Arabidopsis thaliana: one gene and its partners. The protein of the gene in region 1 purifies or fractionates together with the protein of each later gene. This does not show direct contact. Each region holds a gene or a part of one and is shown on either strand. Other genes may lie near its edges. The genes, in order: MAB1, IAR4 and MTO2.

Region 1 (7,241 bases):
TTATCGACAAAGTTCCAGGATGCTATAATGGTAAGTTGAACACATTTTTCTTTCGATGTGAATTCTTCCCAGGGTTTTGATCTTTGCTGAATATAGAAATTTGAGCCATTTTGCCGTCGGTATTGGCAGTTTTAGAGAGGAACAAGTATTGGATAATAGCTTTGTTTTGTGTTTCTAAGTATGCAAATCTTAAATGCACATCATTTATTGATCCTTGTTATATTTTCTTAGGATATTATCTCCTTTAATCTTCCGTGCTATATGCTTTGGACAGTCATGGCAATATCTTTTTCTTCTTTCTGAAACTCTCTACACTGACATTGGCAAATGTTAGTACCGATCTACACTAAAATTTAGTCCTTGGAAATAATTGGAACTAAACAAAGTAGAAAATTGTCCATATTGGTTTCAAGTTACAGATTGATAGAACTAAGTTTGATGAATTGCTTGCAGGCTTTTGCAACATCAAAAACTTACAAAAACAAAATCAGAATTTATTTGATTGATTTTTTTCTTATGCTCTCTACCTTCCTAATCCTCTTTTGTTTATAGGATGTGAGCATTAAGTTGGACGAGCAAAAGAATGAAAGCCTCACGCAACTCAAAGAAAATGAGATGTAAGCGGAAAGAACTCAATCATAACATGTTCATTTGGAGTAGGAAAATTATAGTATGTTTATTATATATGTATAGTTTTGTTGCAGTTTAAGTTAATACAGTATGAATATGCTCGCCCACATTCTGGAAACTATATTCTTACATGTGTATTGCTTTTAAAACGGCTTTGCTTGTATCAGCTCAGTAACATATTATAAAGGTCCATTCTAATTACAATGGGTTTGTTTCTTAATCTCCAGGTTAAGGACGAAGTTGAAGCACCTGGCTGATCAATTTATGCTTTCAGAACAACAACATGAGCAAAGGGTAATTAAATTATTCGTTTTTTCCAACTATATATGAAGCATGATTTAGCCAAAATAATTGGCTTAACTGCGATGTCTACTTGACAACATCTCATTTTCGAATGGACAGTTGAAGCAGAAAACACTTGAGCTACAGATCTCTGCTTTAAAAATTAAACAGCACGAGGAGAAACTCATCCATGAACAATCTCAGATGAAAGTTTACGCAGATCAAGTTTCTCAGCTTTTGTCTACTGAGAAAAATTTGCGGTTGCAGCTGACTTCTGATGGAGATAAATTCCAGCAGTTCCAGGTCTGCTCTCTTCCCCTTTTACACTTCCTAAATAAGTCTTAATCGTTTTCTCGATGCACTGTGATCACAGATAATAAGATTGCTTGCTTTGGGTGTGATACAATACTCTCTTAAGATATGTTTTTTACTGATATTATATGAAAAGACTGTAAAGTGAAAGGCTGTTTGGTTATGCAGGACGCGTTGGTTAAGAGCAATGAGGTGTTTGAAACATTCAAACAAGAAATCGATAAGGTAATAACAGTTTTATACCTTCGAGGTTCTTTGAAAGATCATAAGTGCTATTTATGTGATCTTATTAACTTGATCCTGTCTCTATTGGTTTTTTGAGTAGATGTCAAAAGCAATCAAAGAACTCAGAAAAGAAAACGCATTCTTGAAAAACAAAACTGAGAAGTCGGATATCACTCTCATAGAACTCGTCGAAGAGGTAAAACAAAACCGTCTGTTCTCTCACTATCTTTAAGGGTTTGTAGATTTTGGTTATGAAACCAGTAAAATCACACTTTTGGTTGACCTTGAACAGCGTGAAAGATTGAAGAAACTGTTGGAGAAGACAAAGAAACAGAAAGACAAGCTTGAATCACTTTGCAGATCCCTTCAAGCTGAAAGAAAACAGAAAGAAACTAACAGTACTGATTCTGCTGTTCAACCATGAAACAGAGAGAGACTATGAATTCAGTGTTTTGCTCTCTTTTTTTCTTTGTCAGAGTTTTGAACTAATTAGCACTTCAGATTACAAAACTACAATTAGACTCCAAATTCACTTTAAAATGTAGAAACATATCACATCATATTGATTCTGCTCTTTTGCGAGCTAAGTCCATTTTATCTCACAAAATGCAAATTGATAATAGTTAATTCAGCTGCAGCTTCTGCAAATCTCCAGGTTCACAAGAGAATGATTCTGCATTCACTAAGTTCACAACCGATTTGGAGAAGAATAGCTACTTCAACATCTGCCATAATGACCAGCTGATTCTTTGCAATCTTAAACCAAACCGAACCGAACCATTTGAACCGAAGAAAAGTTAAACCGATATGGATTATGATTCGGTTTGCATCTTTATGGATTCGGTTAGTTAAAAAAAGCGAATCTCTCTGAATTAAAATAAGTATAACGTCAAATTAAATTTGGTCACATCCACTTTCCTTTACAAACTTCAACAACATCAAATGGAATAATATAATATTGGAAAAGAAAAAGTATATAACGAAATGTCAACCATCGATCATGACCAGCAGATATTAATCGGACGGCTCCTGTACAATTCGATGAAGAAGACCTACTCTCTCATTTATTCAGCTAATTGAAATCATTTCGTTGTGTTTTAGAACAACAACAAAAAAACAGTGCCCTTTCGCTCACGCTTTGAGTCGTATCTGCTCTCTTCTTAATCCGCCGTCTCTCACTTTTTCGCCGGCGTGGTTAGATCGTACAAAGCTCAGGTAATCAAATCTATCTCCGATGTTGATCTACTCTGTTTCTCCGGATTTATGATTTCTCTATTCAATTTCCGATGATTGTTAGATCTACGGGGCTTTTGATCCTGCGATTACTGTTGCTTTTTGTTTGTTAATCAGAGAGAATGTTGGGAATCTTGAGGCAAAGAGCCATCGATGGAGCTTCGGTATGAGACTTTTTTACTCCTTTTATTTGTTTCAGTGCGATTACGATTTTGAGATTTTTACTTGGGAGATTTTTAGGTTCGGATTTTGTTTTCTGATTTTCGAAATTTGGTTTTTGATCAGACTCTTAGGAGGACGCGATTCGCATTGGTTTCTGCTAGGAGCTATGCAGCTGGTGCAAAAGAGGTAAAATGTCTTTTATTGAATTTTCGGATGGTTTAGAAGCGTTATTATACAGGTTTGGTTTTAATGAGCTATTGGAAGATAATTGTGGTCAATTTAGGATGATTAGAGCTGTTAATGTCTGCCAAACCACTTTTCTACTCTAAACTTTTTCTTTGGATGATAGCTTAATGTTGTCTTCTGCAAACTATGTCGATTACTTTTTTTTTTGTGTTCACCGAAATGTCGAGTTTAGCTATATTGGATGTTTTTTGATTTTGTAAACTGTGAGCATCCAAGAAGCGCAAGGGTCGATAATCATTGCATAGATGTTTAAGCCTATTAGCTTTCTCTCATTAGTTCTGACATTGAAAATGGTGGATTGATAGCTGACTCACATAAATAGTGTAGTGACATTTAGAATCCCAACAAGTGTAGCTTAAGTTAGATTTTAATTTACGTTTCGAGAACCCAATTTTTTTTTCATATAGTTGATAAAGCTGATACGGCCGTCAGTCTTTGTTAATATTTGTCAAACATATTTCTCCTTGTATGTGGAATTTCCCAAAATATTGTAATATTGCTTACAATTTTTTGTGCAAATCATTGTTTAGATGACAGTCAGAGATGCTCTAAATTCTGCAATTGATGAGGAAATGTCTGCTGATCCTAAAGTATTTGTCATGGGTGAAGAGGTTAGTTGCAGCTAACATGTTTGATAAATTCATCTTGCAATTTCTAATCAGATATCAATATCTCATCTTTTATCTTGTTATTGTAGGTTGGCCAATATCAAGGTGCCTACAAGGTTAGAATTATTTGACCTGATGGAAATAGATATTTTCCAGTTAAATTTCTCTTGTTTTGACCCTGATCTGATGCTGGAGGTCTATCATGTACTCATAGATCACTAAAGGCCTTTTGGAGAAATATGGTCCTGAGAGAGTTTACGATACCCCTATTACTGAGGTTTGGAATTCTTATACTATTATCTTGTACTGCAGTCTCAATCCTTATTTCCATGTTTCTTGATTGAGAAGATTTCTGACAGTTATCGTTTAACCATGTTTTAGGCTGGATTTACTGGAATTGGAGTTGGTGCTGCCTATGCTGGCTTAAAGCCCGTTGTAGAATTTATGACGTTTAACTTCTCTATGCAGGTTAGCGTTGGTTTTTGTTATATTCTTTGAATACTACATTTTGCCTCTTTCTTTGACTTGATTATGCATAATTGTTGCGTTACTCAGATCATGCACTCTGGTGCAATATGTTTCCAGTTATCGTACACTTTATCTTCTTTCGGACATTAAAGTGCACTAAAGTTCTAATTATTTCCCAATGTGTATCCTAATATCTAGTAATCTTCTTTCAGGCAATTGATCATATCATCAATTCCGCTGCAAAGTCAAATTACATGTCTGCTGGACAGATAAATGTACCCATCGTCTTTAGAGGACCCAATGGTGCTGCTGCTGGTGTTGGAGCTCAACATTCTCAGGTAAACGCTCACCCAAAAAAAATTGAATAATTTGTTACTTTGCATTCTTTCAAAAGAGACCTTCAGCTACTAAACTGATAAAGATATTCATATAGGATGATGGAGCTGGCTTTTACTTTAACATTGATCAAATTTCCCCTAAATAATTGAGGCATTGACTGATTGATTAAGATAAAGGTTCCTATCACAGTAGCATGCAACTGTTTCTCTAAGTAAGATTACACACACATGAAACTATGACTCTGTGGGGCGTAGAATGTTTAATATGATCAGTTCAAGGATACACAAGTTATCTGTGTTTATGACTGCTTGTGGCCTTGTAACTGTATCTCGATGTTAAATGGAGCTTTTCTTCTATATCTTGTAGTGCTATGCAGCGTGGTATGCCTCAGTTCCTGGTTTGAAAGTCCTTGCTCCGTATTCAGCTGAAGATGCTCGTGGTCTTCTTAAAGCTGCCATTAGAGACCCTGACCCTGTTGTCTTCCTTGAAAACGAGTTACTGTAAGTAGTATTCCTAATTTGAGTTCTTGCATGTGATTAGAGCCTACGGTCTCATATCAGTACCTCCTTAAATTGATTTCATCATGCAGATATGGTGAATCATTCCCTATTTCAGAAGAAGCCCTTGATTCAAGTTTCTGTCTTCCCATAGGCAAAGCCAAGGTACTGTCACTCAGTATCTATTGTCTTCTTCTTATGTGTCTCTTTCATCTTTCTTCTATCTAGCAGTTGGATGCTTTAATGTTGTCTTTGCCTATAACAGATTGAACGAGAAGGAAAGGACGTAACGATAGTAACTTTCTCGAAGATGGTCGGTTTCGCCCTCAAGGTTTGCCATTTCCTCCACTTTCCTTTTAGTAATTAAAACTGAGAACGTTCTTGCTAGTTTTATGGCTATAGCTCAAATATTCCTTTTGGATGTTGTTTTGCCTCACATGCTTTGTTTTTACAAACTGGTGTTTCTCTTTGTTCCGTCTTTGAATTATTTATTTAATGTACCTGATTCTAGGCAGCTGAGAAGCTCGCAGAAGAGGGAATAAGTGCTGAGGTATGAAGATTTTTAGATTTCTCTCTTGTAAACCTGCTTAAATCTGATACGTGAACTCTGAACTTTTTTCTTTGTTAAAATGCTTAGGTAATAAATCTTCGATCAATCCGTCCGCTTGACCGAGCCACCATCAATGCTTCAGTGAGGAAAACGAGTAGATTGGTAACAGTTGAAGAAGGTTTCCCACAACATGGAGTCTGTGCAGAAATTTGGTTAACTTCAATTCCTTAATTCAATAGAGATCTTATTATCACCTGGATTGTATAATAGTTTTAAAACACGGATTAAACTTTTTCCGTAATGGATCAGTGCGTCGGTTGTAGAAGAGAGCTTTTCGTACTTGGATGCACCGGTCGAGAGGATTGCAGGAGCTGATGTTCCAATGCCGTATGCAGCTAACCTAGAGAGATTGGCTCTTCCTCAGGTTTGTTTTGTCCCTTCTTTGCATCGAAAACTTGGTTCAATTTTGTCTGTTATTAATGAATTTGAGATGAAATGATTCTGCAGATAGAGGACATCGTTCGTGCATCAAAGAGAGCTTGTTACAGATCGAAATAAAATCGTCAACATCAACACATTTCTTCTTTGATCTTTAAAGGGAAAGGAAAATAAGAAAAAAGGAGAAAAATGATCTCTCTGTCTCTCACTTTTGCTATAAGAAACCACCATTCCTCGTGATTTATTTCATCTTTTGCTATTATTCTTTACTGCAGCGGTTTTCGTTTTTCTTTTTGTCCCTTCCCAAATTGATAATTCTAATCTTTGGGGTTAATTGATAAAAATTGATCGAGAATGCTAGTAAAGGAGTTCACAACACCTGTTTTTCCATCAAATAATGAATGAGGTGTGCCTAATTCATGTCTGATATTCTTTTATTCTCGTATTATTATTTTTGAAAACGGTATTAGTGAGTTAACCTCCAATGACGTTTAGCATATACTTTTGGTGATATAATTGTAATTTGATTTAAACGCTATTGATCAACCTATGGATAAAAAAGGAAAAAGCTTTGGTGTGGAAAAAAAATGTTGATGAAAACGAATTTAAACAAGTTCCAATATTTGAAGCAGCAATCAAAATGTTTGAACATCTATTCACGACAATTTTTAGCAACACTCTTATCACAAGACCAATCTTGGAAGCCTCAAAATCCATTTCAAAAACTATACAATTTAAAAGTAGGATTCTAAAGCTACCTGAATTATGTTTTTACATCAGAGTCAAAATCACATTTTCTATTTGTGCACTCTATTCTGCTACAAAGAATTTGAACTCCTTCAACCATTCTCTCTTGAAACGGAAGCAATCTCTTATTTTGATGCACTAATATAACTCCAACTCATTTCTCAATCATCTTTCCTATCTCCGGATCCCAAAAACTTCTGATCTGCTCCTGAAAAGTAAGTCCATCGATAGCCCGAGTGCTGGAGGAGGTTTAAGTCCCCATATGTACTTTCTAGAAGAAGCCCCACGAGCCCCGTCTTTGTTTGAAATCTTTCTCATTGATGTCCCTTCCCCAGACTTTAATGATCTCGATAACCCAAAAGAAGTCTCAGTCTTTGCACCAAATACTGAGGTTTTCTTTGATAGATCTTCCAATGGGTACCCAACTGCACCGTCCTGGTGAGGAGGCGGAAACTTCTCACTCTTGCTCTTTCCATTTGTTTGTGATATCGATCTCCATCTCTG
Region 2 (5,934 bases), on another chromosome or scaffold:
TGGTGAAGATCCGGAGGATGATTTGGATAACAATAACAAAGGAGAAAGCGAAGGTGAGGCTGAATGTATGGCTGATGCACATGATGCTGAAGAAAATGGGTCTGCCTTACCCGTTTCAGCACGATTCTTGCTGCATGTAAAGCCCTTAGTAAAGTATGTTCCTTCAGCTATAGCTTTGCATGACAAGGACAAAGACTCTCTGAAGAACTCCCAAGTTTTCTATGGAAATGATTCGTTTTACGTGCTTTTCAGGCTGCACCGGGTAAGAGCTAAAGATCATATACAGTTTGAAAAAATTATAAACAGTATAATCTAAAGTACAAAGAGTTTTCACTAGCTAACTTTACGCTATTACTCTTGACAGATATTGTATGAGAGAATACTATCAGCAAAAGTTAACTCATCATCCCCGGAAGGAAAGTGGAGGACCTCAAATACCAAAAATCCTACTGATTCCTATGCTAGGTGAAATTTGCTTTTTATTGCAGAGATTGTGTGTGTTTCTGGGATTCATATGTGCTCCATACTTATAACTTTAATTAATGTGGAACAGATTCATGACTGCACTCTACAACTTACTTGATGGTACATCTGATAATGCCAAGTTTGAAGATGACTGCCGAGCGATAATCGGGACTCAGTCTTATATTCTCTTCACATTGGACAAACTGATCCATAAATTCATCAAGCATGTGAGTATTTTTGCTCTTTGATGTTTTCTCTATGTATTCACCTCTCTATCTTTACTTGCTTTTTACTAACATACGTGTGGTCATTCTTCAGCTACAAGTAGTAGTAGCTGATGAGATGGACAACAAGCTTCTTCAGCTTTATTTTTATGAGAAATCCAGAAGGCCTGAAACGATTTTTGATGCTGTGTATTACGATAATACCCGTGTCCTCCTCCCTGATGAGAATATTTACCGTATTGAATGTGTAAGTTTTTGCTGCATCTTACATTAGCTACTTATATTCTGTCGATGCACTGCTGATCATGCTTTTGGACTCCAAAACCTCATGTGTATGCAGAGATTATCAACCCCAGCGAAACTCTCTATTCAGCTTATGTGCAACGGTCTTGATAAGCCCGATGTGACATCTGTATCCATTGACCCGACCTTTGCAGCTTATCTCCACAATGACTTCCTCTCCATACAACCAAATGCAAGGGAGGATCGCAGAATCTATTTAAATAGGTAAATGTAAAACATGAACAAATGACTGTCCCTTGATCTCTGAAACCTAGTGGGTCACTCATCAAAGCCAATGCCATTTTTCGTTTTCTCCAGGAACAAGCGCAAAGTTTGTCGTGAAGATGAACAGTTATACAGCACAGATGAAGTTAAGATCAAAAATGGTTTGGAGTGTAAGATAGCTTGCGGTTCTTCAAAGGTAACACTTTTATCTTCTTCCCTATATCACGCTTACCGCTTATGAGTATATCCATGAGAGACCAGCACTTGAAAGCACGTTCTTGAAAATCTCTTGCAGGTCTCCTATGTACTAGAAACAGAAGATTTGTTGGTGCGAGTTAAAAAGAGAAGAAAAACTTTGTGCCACAATCAGGATTCTTGGGTAAGGCAAATGAGGTTACAATATTACAAAAATAACTTCTTGTGACCAGCCTGTAACAATCTGGAAGAAGGATACCAAATCAACTCAACTTGTTCATTCACTCTCCAACTTAACAGAGACAAAACAAAAACAAAAGTGGCAATTCTCCATTGTTGACTTCACCGGATAGAGCCAAACTGCATTCTCTATCTTCATAAGAAGAAGAAGCAACAAAGGATTTGGCTTTTTGTTGTCTGTGACTGAAAAAGAAAACAATCACTCACAAAAATGATGTTACATATGTAAAGTTTGTCTTTATTCACTCTCTTGTTGTAAAGTTTTGTATGTTGTTGTAACATTTATCAAAAATTTCATTTTGTTATGGTATGTTATATAGAAATGAGTCAAATGACCATAAAAGGTTTGACCTTTTCCATAAACGACGCTTCGCCCTCTCCTAACTCTTTCCCTCACTTTAAAAAGATTCGATTTTTGACTGCAAAAAAGAGAATTTCTAAAAGCAAATCGGAGAGCTTCGGCGATGGCGTTATCACGACTTTCTTCACGATCCAACACTTTCCTAAAGCCGGCGATTACCGCCTTGCCCTCCTCCATCCGCCGTCATGTTTCCACAGACTCATCACCGATCACAATCGAAACCGCCGTCCCTTTCACATCGCATCTATGTGAATCACCGTCACGCTCCGTCGAGACTTCATCGGAGGAGATCTTAGCCTTTTTCCGTGACATGGCTCGGATGAGGAGGATGGAGATCGCAGCAGATTCTCTTTACAAGGCGAAGCTGATCCGTGGGTTCTGTCATTTGTACGATGGTCAAGAGGCTTTAGCGGTGGGAATGGAAGCGGCGATTACCAAAAAAGATGCGATTATCACATCGTATCGTGATCACTGTACTTTCATTGGTCGTGGTGGGAAGCTTGTTGATGCTTTCTCTGAGCTTATGGGGAGAAAAACTGGTTGTTCTCATGGTAAAGGAGGATCTATGCATTTCTATAAGAAAGATGCTTCCTTTTATGGTGGACATGGGATTGTTGGTGCTCAGATTCCATTGGGATGTGGTTTGGCTTTTGCTCAGAAGTATAATAAGGATGAGGCTGTGACTTTTGCTTTGTATGGTGATGGTGCTGCGAATCAGGGACAGTTGTTTGAGGCCTTGAACATTTCGGCTTTGTGGGATTTGCCTGCGATTCTTGTTTGCGAGAATAACCATTGTGAGTTTATTTTTTGGTTAATTGTAATTTGTTTGGTGGAATTGTTGAGACTTTTGTGTTGATTTGGATTGTTTGATGTTTAGATGGAATGGGAACGGCTACATGGAGGTCGGCTAAGTCTCCGGCTTATTTCAAGCGTGGAGATTATGTTCCTGGCTTGAAGGTGAGACTGAGTTGTCTTTTGGCATGATCTTGAGCTTTACAATGCTTTTGCTTTGATGAGACTGAGTTGTCTATAGCACGCTTTTAGTTGATACAGGGTTTCCTTGTGTGTTTTAGACCACTGGGTCGACTATGGAACAGCTAGGTAGTGAGGATAGGGTTTTAGACACAAATTGAATGAGAAAGGACAAACCTTCACAGTTGTGTGTTCGGATCAAGTGTAACTTTGTGAGAACTACCAAAAGGAATTGTCTCCAAAGTCTCTATCTTTGTTGTTTTACAGAAGTTGCTTCAGTTTTTTATTACTTTACCCAATAGAATTGTATCCGTTGTTTTTCTGATTGGTGAGAGTGTGAACTTAAAGCTAACGAATGATTATCTTTTGCTTTGTTTTCTAGGTGGATGGTATGGATGCACTGGCTGTGAAACAGGCGTGCAAGTTTGCCAAGGAGCATGCTCTCAAGAATGGTCCTATTGTAAGTATTACAGCTGCTCCTGTTGGTTTTATGAAATCGATACCTAATCAATATGACTCTTAGCATTTTATGCAAATTAAGAATTCGTAGAATCATTTATTACTTGCATGTGTGATGCTACTTTGGTTGGGGAGAATGGTTAGCTGGTAACTTCTACCTAGCCTAGATTTGGATTGAACGAGGTTTATTTGGAGAAAACAAGACTTCTTAAGTACCTATGTTGTTAATTTGTTTGCTGTTTCCGGGAGAGTGTGACAGGCGTGATTGACAAGCTCCTAGGATTTCTATTAAAAGTACTAGATAAGTAGATATCACTAATATCTCTTGGAGTTTTTGGTGTGTACCTACTTATGAAGTGAAATTATACCATGTTGACTTCAGCTTCCAACCAATTTTCCTTTTTTGCATTTTGTCACCAACACAAATGGGACAAGCATTTTGGATCTTGTGAATTCAATCACATAGCGTTGACATTTATCGTATTTTTATAATCCATTCTCTACCTAGTGATTATGACCAACATACCATTGCCATTATTTGCGCAGATCCTTGAGATGGACACTTACAGATACCACGGTCACTCTATGTCTGACCCAGGAAGCACTTACCGTACTCGTGATGAAATCTCTGGCGTGAGACAGGTTAGTTCTTTGTTCATTTGTAAGACTACTGCTCCAACCATATGCAATTTGAAACTTTTTAATCTGTAAAGTTTTCATCGGTGTTACCTTTAGGTGCGTGATCCAATTGAAAGGGTGCGAAAGTTGCTCTTAACTCATGACATAGCTACCGAAAAAGAGCTTAAGGTACCCTGTTCACCACCTTCCCATTCCAGACAAAAAGCTTGAAAAAAATTATACATACAACCATCAAACTTGACTATGGAAATGACAAAATTCTTTTGACATTAAAGGACATGGAGAAAGAGATAAGGAAAGAAGTAGATGACGCCGTAGCTCAGGCCAAGGTAATAATCTTAATTGTTTCTATCTTTGTCCTTGTTATTTATCAAAACACGAACTAATTCCTTGCTGTTTAACTTGTTTCAGGAGAGCCCGATACCAGATGCATCTGAGCTATTCACAAACATGTACGTGAAAGACTGCGGAGTTGAGGTACTATCACATCCCACTCTTTCACATCTATTTATTTCTTTTGTAACCCTGTGGCGTTGGTAGTTGTTGGCATATGAATCTAGAGATTTACGCATTTTCCTCCATTGAAATTTGCAGTCGTTTGGAGCAGACAGAAAAGAACTCAAAGTAACACTTCCATAGAATCTTGCTTCCCAAGGAGATGATTGGTTCAATAAATCAGAAGGCAAGGCTACACAAATCTTTTTAACTTGCTACCAAAAATATTTCTGGTTTTTTTTTTTTGTATTTTCATTTCAAGTGTAAAGCCATTGCTTCACCAGTTTGCCAACTTTTGTTTCCCACACTTCAATTTGACACCAAGCAAAAGAAGCTTCGGATATCACTCTGTGAGATAAAGTTAGAGAAATAAGCAGAGAGTAGTTAAGAGAAAGATCATCAGCTTCTTTGTCTCAAGTAGAAAAATGTCGACATGTGATTACAAAATCATCAAGACCCCGTGTTAAATTCGTTATCTAATATATATAAAAATAAAAAGGCAAAACCAACTTCTGCGTCGGTACCAATAAAACCACATGAATAGTTATGTCTCCACCACCTAACTTGAATAATCTTTGCTTCTACTCTACAAGTCCCTTTCTCATCATCCCCCACATCAACACCAAATCTTATTGAATAGGTAAACTCTATGACGCCACTCACTCTCTTTCTTAATACTTAAATTAGATTAGATTTCTTGCAACAACTAATCACTACAAAAGAACATTGATGATTGATTGCTTTTTCCTTTGTTAACCAAGCATTTGGTTCTCTCTGTAAGCCAATAGAAACCAAACAAACCTTTGCTTAGTTTTTTACTCGGTAAATAATTAGTTTGACAAGTAACAAGTTTATATATTATATAGTGTTCAGTGTTTTAACTTATTCAAGAATATTCTCTCTATATCATCAAATCAAATATGTTCAACGGAATCTTCATCGTGTTCTCTTCTCATATCCGAGAAAAAGTCCTTAAGAAAAACTCGAGAAAGTGATACATGAATGGTATTATTGAAAATGTTATTCATATAATAAGATGTTACGTCTGACCATGAGCTGCACTACCCAACGGGAATATTCGGATTTAATTGGCTTGGTAGTCGCTACCAACAGCCCAATAATATATATACTAACACTAAGAAGAGAACAAAACTTCAACTTTAATATCCCAATAAAATGTGCCGACAACAAAAACATATATATTTTCTAATGAAATTTCTGAGAAAACAAATTATGAATGATAGTCACGAGTCTTATTCGTCGGTGAAACCATAGTTTAAAAAACTATCCTAACATTTGATATTGATTTCTCTTAAAATTCTTGTACTAGTTTCTACAAATTGTGAAATTGCATTAACTTTTATAACAGTAAATCAT
Region 3 (4,535 bases), on another chromosome or scaffold:
AATGGCGTACGTCGACCATGCGTTCTCGATAACGGACGAGGACATTATGATTGAGACTTCATACACCGTCAATAACCGACCGCCGGTGAAGGAGATCGCACTCGCGGTGGCTTTACTCGTGTTCGGAACCCTAGGAATTGTCTCCGGTTTCTTCATGGCTTATAATCGAGTTGGCGGTGATCGAGGCCACGGTAGCGATTTCTTCACCTTTCTTACTTATTCCACATTTATTGATCCAGTCTTGGAGTAGAAATTGGGAATTCATGAGAGAATATGTGGGACTTATCTTTGCTAGTTTGAGAGATTTAGAAAACAGTAATTGATTTCAGCTAGATTGTTTTAGGAATTTTTTTAGATTTGGTGAAGTTATGTTATAATTTTGGTAATTAAGCTGATAGATATAGATTGCAAGTGCTCTGGTTAGCTACGGTGGAGTGTAATTTCGTTTCAGCTTGGCCTTTTGCTCTCTGTTTTCTGGAGATTTGGATGAATAGACACAAGTTTTCCAAAGGCATACGATTTGATTTCATTGTTAGAATGATTAGTAAACTTCCGATAGAAACTAGTATATGATGATTCTAAGCTTCTCTTATCTGTGAGATAAAAAAGGGAAGGATCTCCGTTGGATTCCATTAACTTTTTAGATCACTATCATCACATACTGTTATTGATATATCCCAATTCTGCTTGTAACATAGACATGAGATTCACTTCAAATTAGCTAGTTTGCTCTTCTTCCTCTGGGCTTGTAATTCATTAATGCATTTCATACATCCCCAATGCAATACTGCAAAGCGAAAGCAAGTATCAGCATTGTACTTAAACTTGATTTCATTTGATTTGCTGTTTTCTTCCGTTTTGCCGGAACTACTTCTTTCTCATCATTGCATCAATGACCTATCATTCTCTGTTTGATATTTTTGATGGTGAAACCAGGGATTTTCTTCATCGTCCTCGGGTGTCTTCTGTTCATTCCCGGGTTTTACTATACACGGATTGCGTATTATGCTTACAAAGGATACAAAGGTTTCTCCTTCTCAAACATACCGCCCGTTTAGGTGTCCCCTTTTGAATCTCTCCTACTCAAAATGTATAGAGATGTTTTATTACTCTATAGCAATGATTGACTTGTTTTCTCTTTTGTGTAGTTTTATAGAATTTGAGTCCAGTCCTTTCTTACTTTCTCCTTCTTCTTGTCAAATAAATTCGAGTCTGTGACAGTTTAGTCAGATTTATACTTACATATCTATAAATATACACCCGGTTCAAATTGATATTTGTTTCTATAAAGATTTCCAATTCGAACCAAGTAATATGGGATACTTGGAGTGTTCACATGTTGCTTTCAGATGTAATTGTTCATTTTCCATCAAATTCCTCTGGATGCAGTATTTAATTGATTACAAATTTGGCCAACTTACACATTGTTACTACTAGAGTTTCAATCTATATCATGATGGTGTATTGGTGTTATATCAAAATTAAAACGTGATTCTTATGTGAATTTTTATGTTCAACATTATTGTTTTCTTTGGGTCAAATGTAACCTTTTATCTTTTTGTCATCAACATGAATGTTCCTTATAACATGCACTTTATTAGCCTGTTTAAAGCAAAACGTGACAAAACATAAATATTCAATTGCTATATACGGAAAGCGATCCAGATATTTGAATGATTAATGGGCCCAAAATATCTCTCTACGTCACATACATAATCCCAATTAACCTAAAAGCTTAAACCGACTAGCCGGTTCTAAGACATTTCCGGTTTAAGTATCTGAATATAGTTTTCTCTCTCTCTCACTCGTGTCCTCTCCTCAAAATCCTCAGCCGCATCTCACTTCTCATTCTCTAGAAAAAATGGCTTCGTCTTGTCTCTTCAATGCCTCTGTATCGTCCTTAAACCCTAAACAAGACCCCATCCGCCGCCACCGGTCAACCTCTCTCCTCCGCCACCGCCCCGTCGTCATCTCCTGTACCGCCGATGGCAACAACATCAAAGCCCCGATCGAGACAGCGGTCAAGCCTCCTCACCGTACCGAGGATAACATTCGAGATGAGGCTCGTCGTAATCGTTCCAACGCCGTGAATCCATTTTCAGCTAAATACGTTCCGTTTAATGCAGCTCCTGGATCCACGGAGTCTTACTCTCTCGACGAGATCGTGTACCGTAGCCGCTCCGGTGGTTTGCTTGATGTCGAACACGATATGGAGGCTTTGAAGCGATTCGATGGCGCGTATTGGCGTGATCTCTTCGATTCGCGTGTTGGTAAAAGCACATGGCCTTATGGATCGGGTGTTTGGTCGAAGAAAGAGTGGGTTCTTCCTGAGATCGATGACGACGACATCGTTTCAGCTTTTGAAGGAAACTCGAATCTGTTCTGGGCAGAGAGATTTGGTAAGCAGTTTCTAGGTATGAATGATCTGTGGGTGAAACACTGTGGGATTAGTCATACAGGAAGTTTCAAGGATCTTGGAATGACTGTTTTGGTTAGTCAAGTTAATCGTCTGAGAAAGATGAAACGACCTGTGGTTGGTGTCGGATGTGCTTCCACCGGAGATACTTCTGCTGCTCTATCTGCTTACTGCGCCTCCGCTGGAATCCCATCGATTGTGTTTTTACCGGCGAACAAGATCTCTATGGCTCAGCTGGTTCAGCCGATAGCTAATGGTGCGTTTGTTTTGAGTATTGACACTGATTTTGATGGGTGTATGAAGCTGATTAGAGAGATAACTGCGGAATTGCCGATTTATTTGGCGAATTCGTTGAATAGTTTGAGGTTAGAAGGGCAGAAAACTGCAGCTATTGAGATTTTGCAGCAGTTTGATTGGCAAGTTCCTGATTGGGTGATTGTTCCTGGAGGTAACCTAGGAAACATCTATGCCTTTTACAAAGGGTTTAAGATGTGTCAAGAACTGGGACTTGTCGATAGGATCCCGAGGATGGTCTGTGCACAAGCAGCTAATGCTAATCCTCTTTACTTGCACTACAAGTCTGGTTGGAAGGACTTCAAGCCCATGACTGCAAGTACCACTTTCGCCTCTGCGATTCAGATCGGTGACCCTGTCTCCATCGATAGAGCTGTGTACGCTCTCAAGAAGTGCAATGGTATTGTAGAAGAAGCCACAGAGGAGGAGCTGATGGATGCGATGGCTCAAGCGGATTCGACAGGAATGTTTATCTGTCCTCATACAGGTGTTGCTCTAACTGCTCTGTTCAAGCTGAGGAATCAAGGAGTGATTGCACCGACTGATCGAACTGTGGTAGTGAGTACTGCTCATGGGTTGAAGTTTACTCAGTCTAAGATAGATTATCACTCCAATGCCATCCCTGACATGGCTTGCAGATTCTCCAATCCTCCTGTTGATGTGAAAGCAGATTTCGGAGCTGTCATGGATGTTCTCAAGAGTTACTTAGGAAGTAATACACTTACGTCATAAGAGACAAGACCATAATCTTTAGCTGTTTTGTTTTTTGAAAACTTTTAGACGTTTGTTTGCGTTACTCTTCAACTCATCTCTCTGTGATCTTTATCTGTTTCTCAGTTTTCCAATAAAGTTCTATCGCAAAGTTTGAATCATTTTATCTTCTTTGTTTTTTGTGTAAGCGATAAATCTAAAGACTCCGGTCAAAATCAACCTGTTGCAGATTATATTGTTACAACTAGATGCGTCTTGGAGAATGCATAAAAGAAAAAAGTCAAAAAACCGAATTGTTCATGAGTAATCATAGAGCGATACACTCTTGTCATCAGAGACACTAGCAAGTCGACCAGCCCGGACACCGGTTCCACCTGGTGGTCTAAAGGCCACAGACCAAACCTGGTCATTGTGGTTGCTCATTGTCTGAATCGCAGCTCTCATTTTAAGATCCCATAGCCTCACAGTTCTATCGCTTGAGCCGGTTGCTATGGCTCCACCGTCTGGGCTAGCATCAACGCTCAGCACCCAACTCGTGTGCCCTGACATGGACCCCAACAGCGTTTTCCCTTCTGCATCGTGCATGTTCACATGCCCATCATCTGATCCAGAGAAGAGGACTCTCGGGTCTACAGGGGAGAACACAAGGGACCTTACAGGCATATTGTGACCTTCTAGCTGGTGAAGTAGCTTTGAGCGGTCAACATCAAAAACACAGATCGTACCATCCATTGAACCACAAGCAAGTCGTTTCCCATTAGGAGACCAAGCCACCGAGAGAACGAATTTCTTGCTGCTGGTTTTATCGGAAGGTTTTGGTGCATCTGGGCGTGGGATTGATAGAGTTGAGATTAATCTCCAGCTTGCAGTGTCCCAAAGCTTGACTGAGGCACTACTTCCACCTGCAACAGCAAGGATCGTACCCTTGGAACATGTAAAATACTATGTTAGCAGAGCACCATTCTAAAGAGTAATGTTGAAATTATAAGCTCAGAAGCAAATAAAAACTCCACTGCAAACTAAAAGAGAGATCATTGCACTGATACTTGATAGTCACCAGGTCAAAATTCTATCATACCAAATCAAGATTTATCATCAAAGCACCAATAAATTG

Evidence for each region.
Region 2: the proteins of MAB1 (region 1) and IAR4 fractionate together in Arabidopsis thaliana (co-fractionation; one large-scale study listed by BioGRID). This does not show direct contact.
Region 3: the proteins of MAB1 (region 1) and MTO2 purify together in Arabidopsis thaliana (affinity purification with mass spectrometry, with the first as the bait; one large-scale study listed by BioGRID). This does not show direct contact.

Annotation. Positions count from the first base shown.
Region 1 is NC_003076.8:20,686,867-20,694,107, forward strand, and holds MAB1 (Transketolase family protein), read left to right. Parts: upstream 1-2,376; 5' UTR 2,377-2,664; intron 2,665-2,799; 5' UTR 2,800-2,804; coding exon 2,805-2,846; intron 2,847-2,967; coding exon 2,968-3,030; intron 3,031-3,620; coding exon 3,621-3,701; intron 3,702-3,787; coding exon 3,788-3,814; intron 3,815-3,912; coding exon 3,913-3,975; intron 3,976-4,079; coding exon 4,080-4,166; intron 4,167-4,378; coding exon 4,379-4,504; intron 4,505-4,871; coding exon 4,872-5,005; intron 5,006-5,094; coding exon 5,095-5,167; intron 5,168-5,267; coding exon 5,268-5,333; intron 5,334-5,513; coding exon 5,514-5,552; intron 5,553-5,639; coding exon 5,640-5,764; intron 5,765-5,861; coding exon 5,862-5,976; intron 5,977-6,059; coding exon 6,060-6,110; 3' UTR 6,111-6,604; downstream 6,605-7,241. Other genes in the region: AT5G50840 (alpha-taxilin-like protein), read left to right, coding at 1-30, 553-617, 858-924, 1,033-1,215, 1,393-1,449, 1,550-1,645, 1,742-1,873; AT5G50860 (Protein kinase superfamily protein), read right to left, coding at 6,912-7,238. UniProt on the Arabidopsis thaliana protein: The pyruvate dehydrogenase complex catalyzes the overall conversion of pyruvate to acetyl-CoA and CO(2).
Region 2 is NC_003070.9:8,559,544-8,565,477, reverse strand, and holds IAR4 (thiamine diphosphate-binding fold (THDP-binding) superfamily protein), read left to right. Parts: upstream 1-1,975; 5' UTR 1,976-2,095; coding exon 2,096-2,786; intron 2,787-2,869; coding exon 2,870-2,949; intron 2,950-3,346; coding exon 3,347-3,424; intron 3,425-3,969; coding exon 3,970-4,065; intron 4,066-4,158; coding exon 4,159-4,230; intron 4,231-4,337; coding exon 4,338-4,391; intron 4,392-4,473; coding exon 4,474-4,539; intron 4,540-4,656; coding exon 4,657-4,701; 3' UTR 4,702-5,058; downstream 5,059-5,934. Other genes in the region: SNL3 (SIN3-like 3), read left to right, coding at 1-262, 365-465, 554-692, 784-936, 1,030-1,196, 1,290-1,392, 1,492-1,575, 1,692-1,772. UniProt on the Arabidopsis thaliana protein: The pyruvate dehydrogenase complex catalyzes the overall conversion of pyruvate to acetyl-CoA and CO(2).
Region 3 is NC_003075.7:14,598,341-14,602,875, reverse strand, and holds MTO2 (Pyridoxal-5'-phosphate-dependent enzyme family protein), read left to right. Parts: upstream 1-1,820; 5' UTR 1,821-1,861; coding exon 1,862-3,442; 3' UTR 3,443-3,660; downstream 3,661-4,535. Other genes in the region: AT4G29850 (transmembrane protein (DUF872)), read left to right, coding at 2-191, 937-1,058; VIP3 (Transducin/WD40 repeat-like superfamily protein), read right to left, coding at 3,719-4,345. UniProt on the Arabidopsis thaliana protein: Catalyzes the gamma-elimination of phosphate from L-phosphohomoserine and the beta-addition of water to produce L-threonine.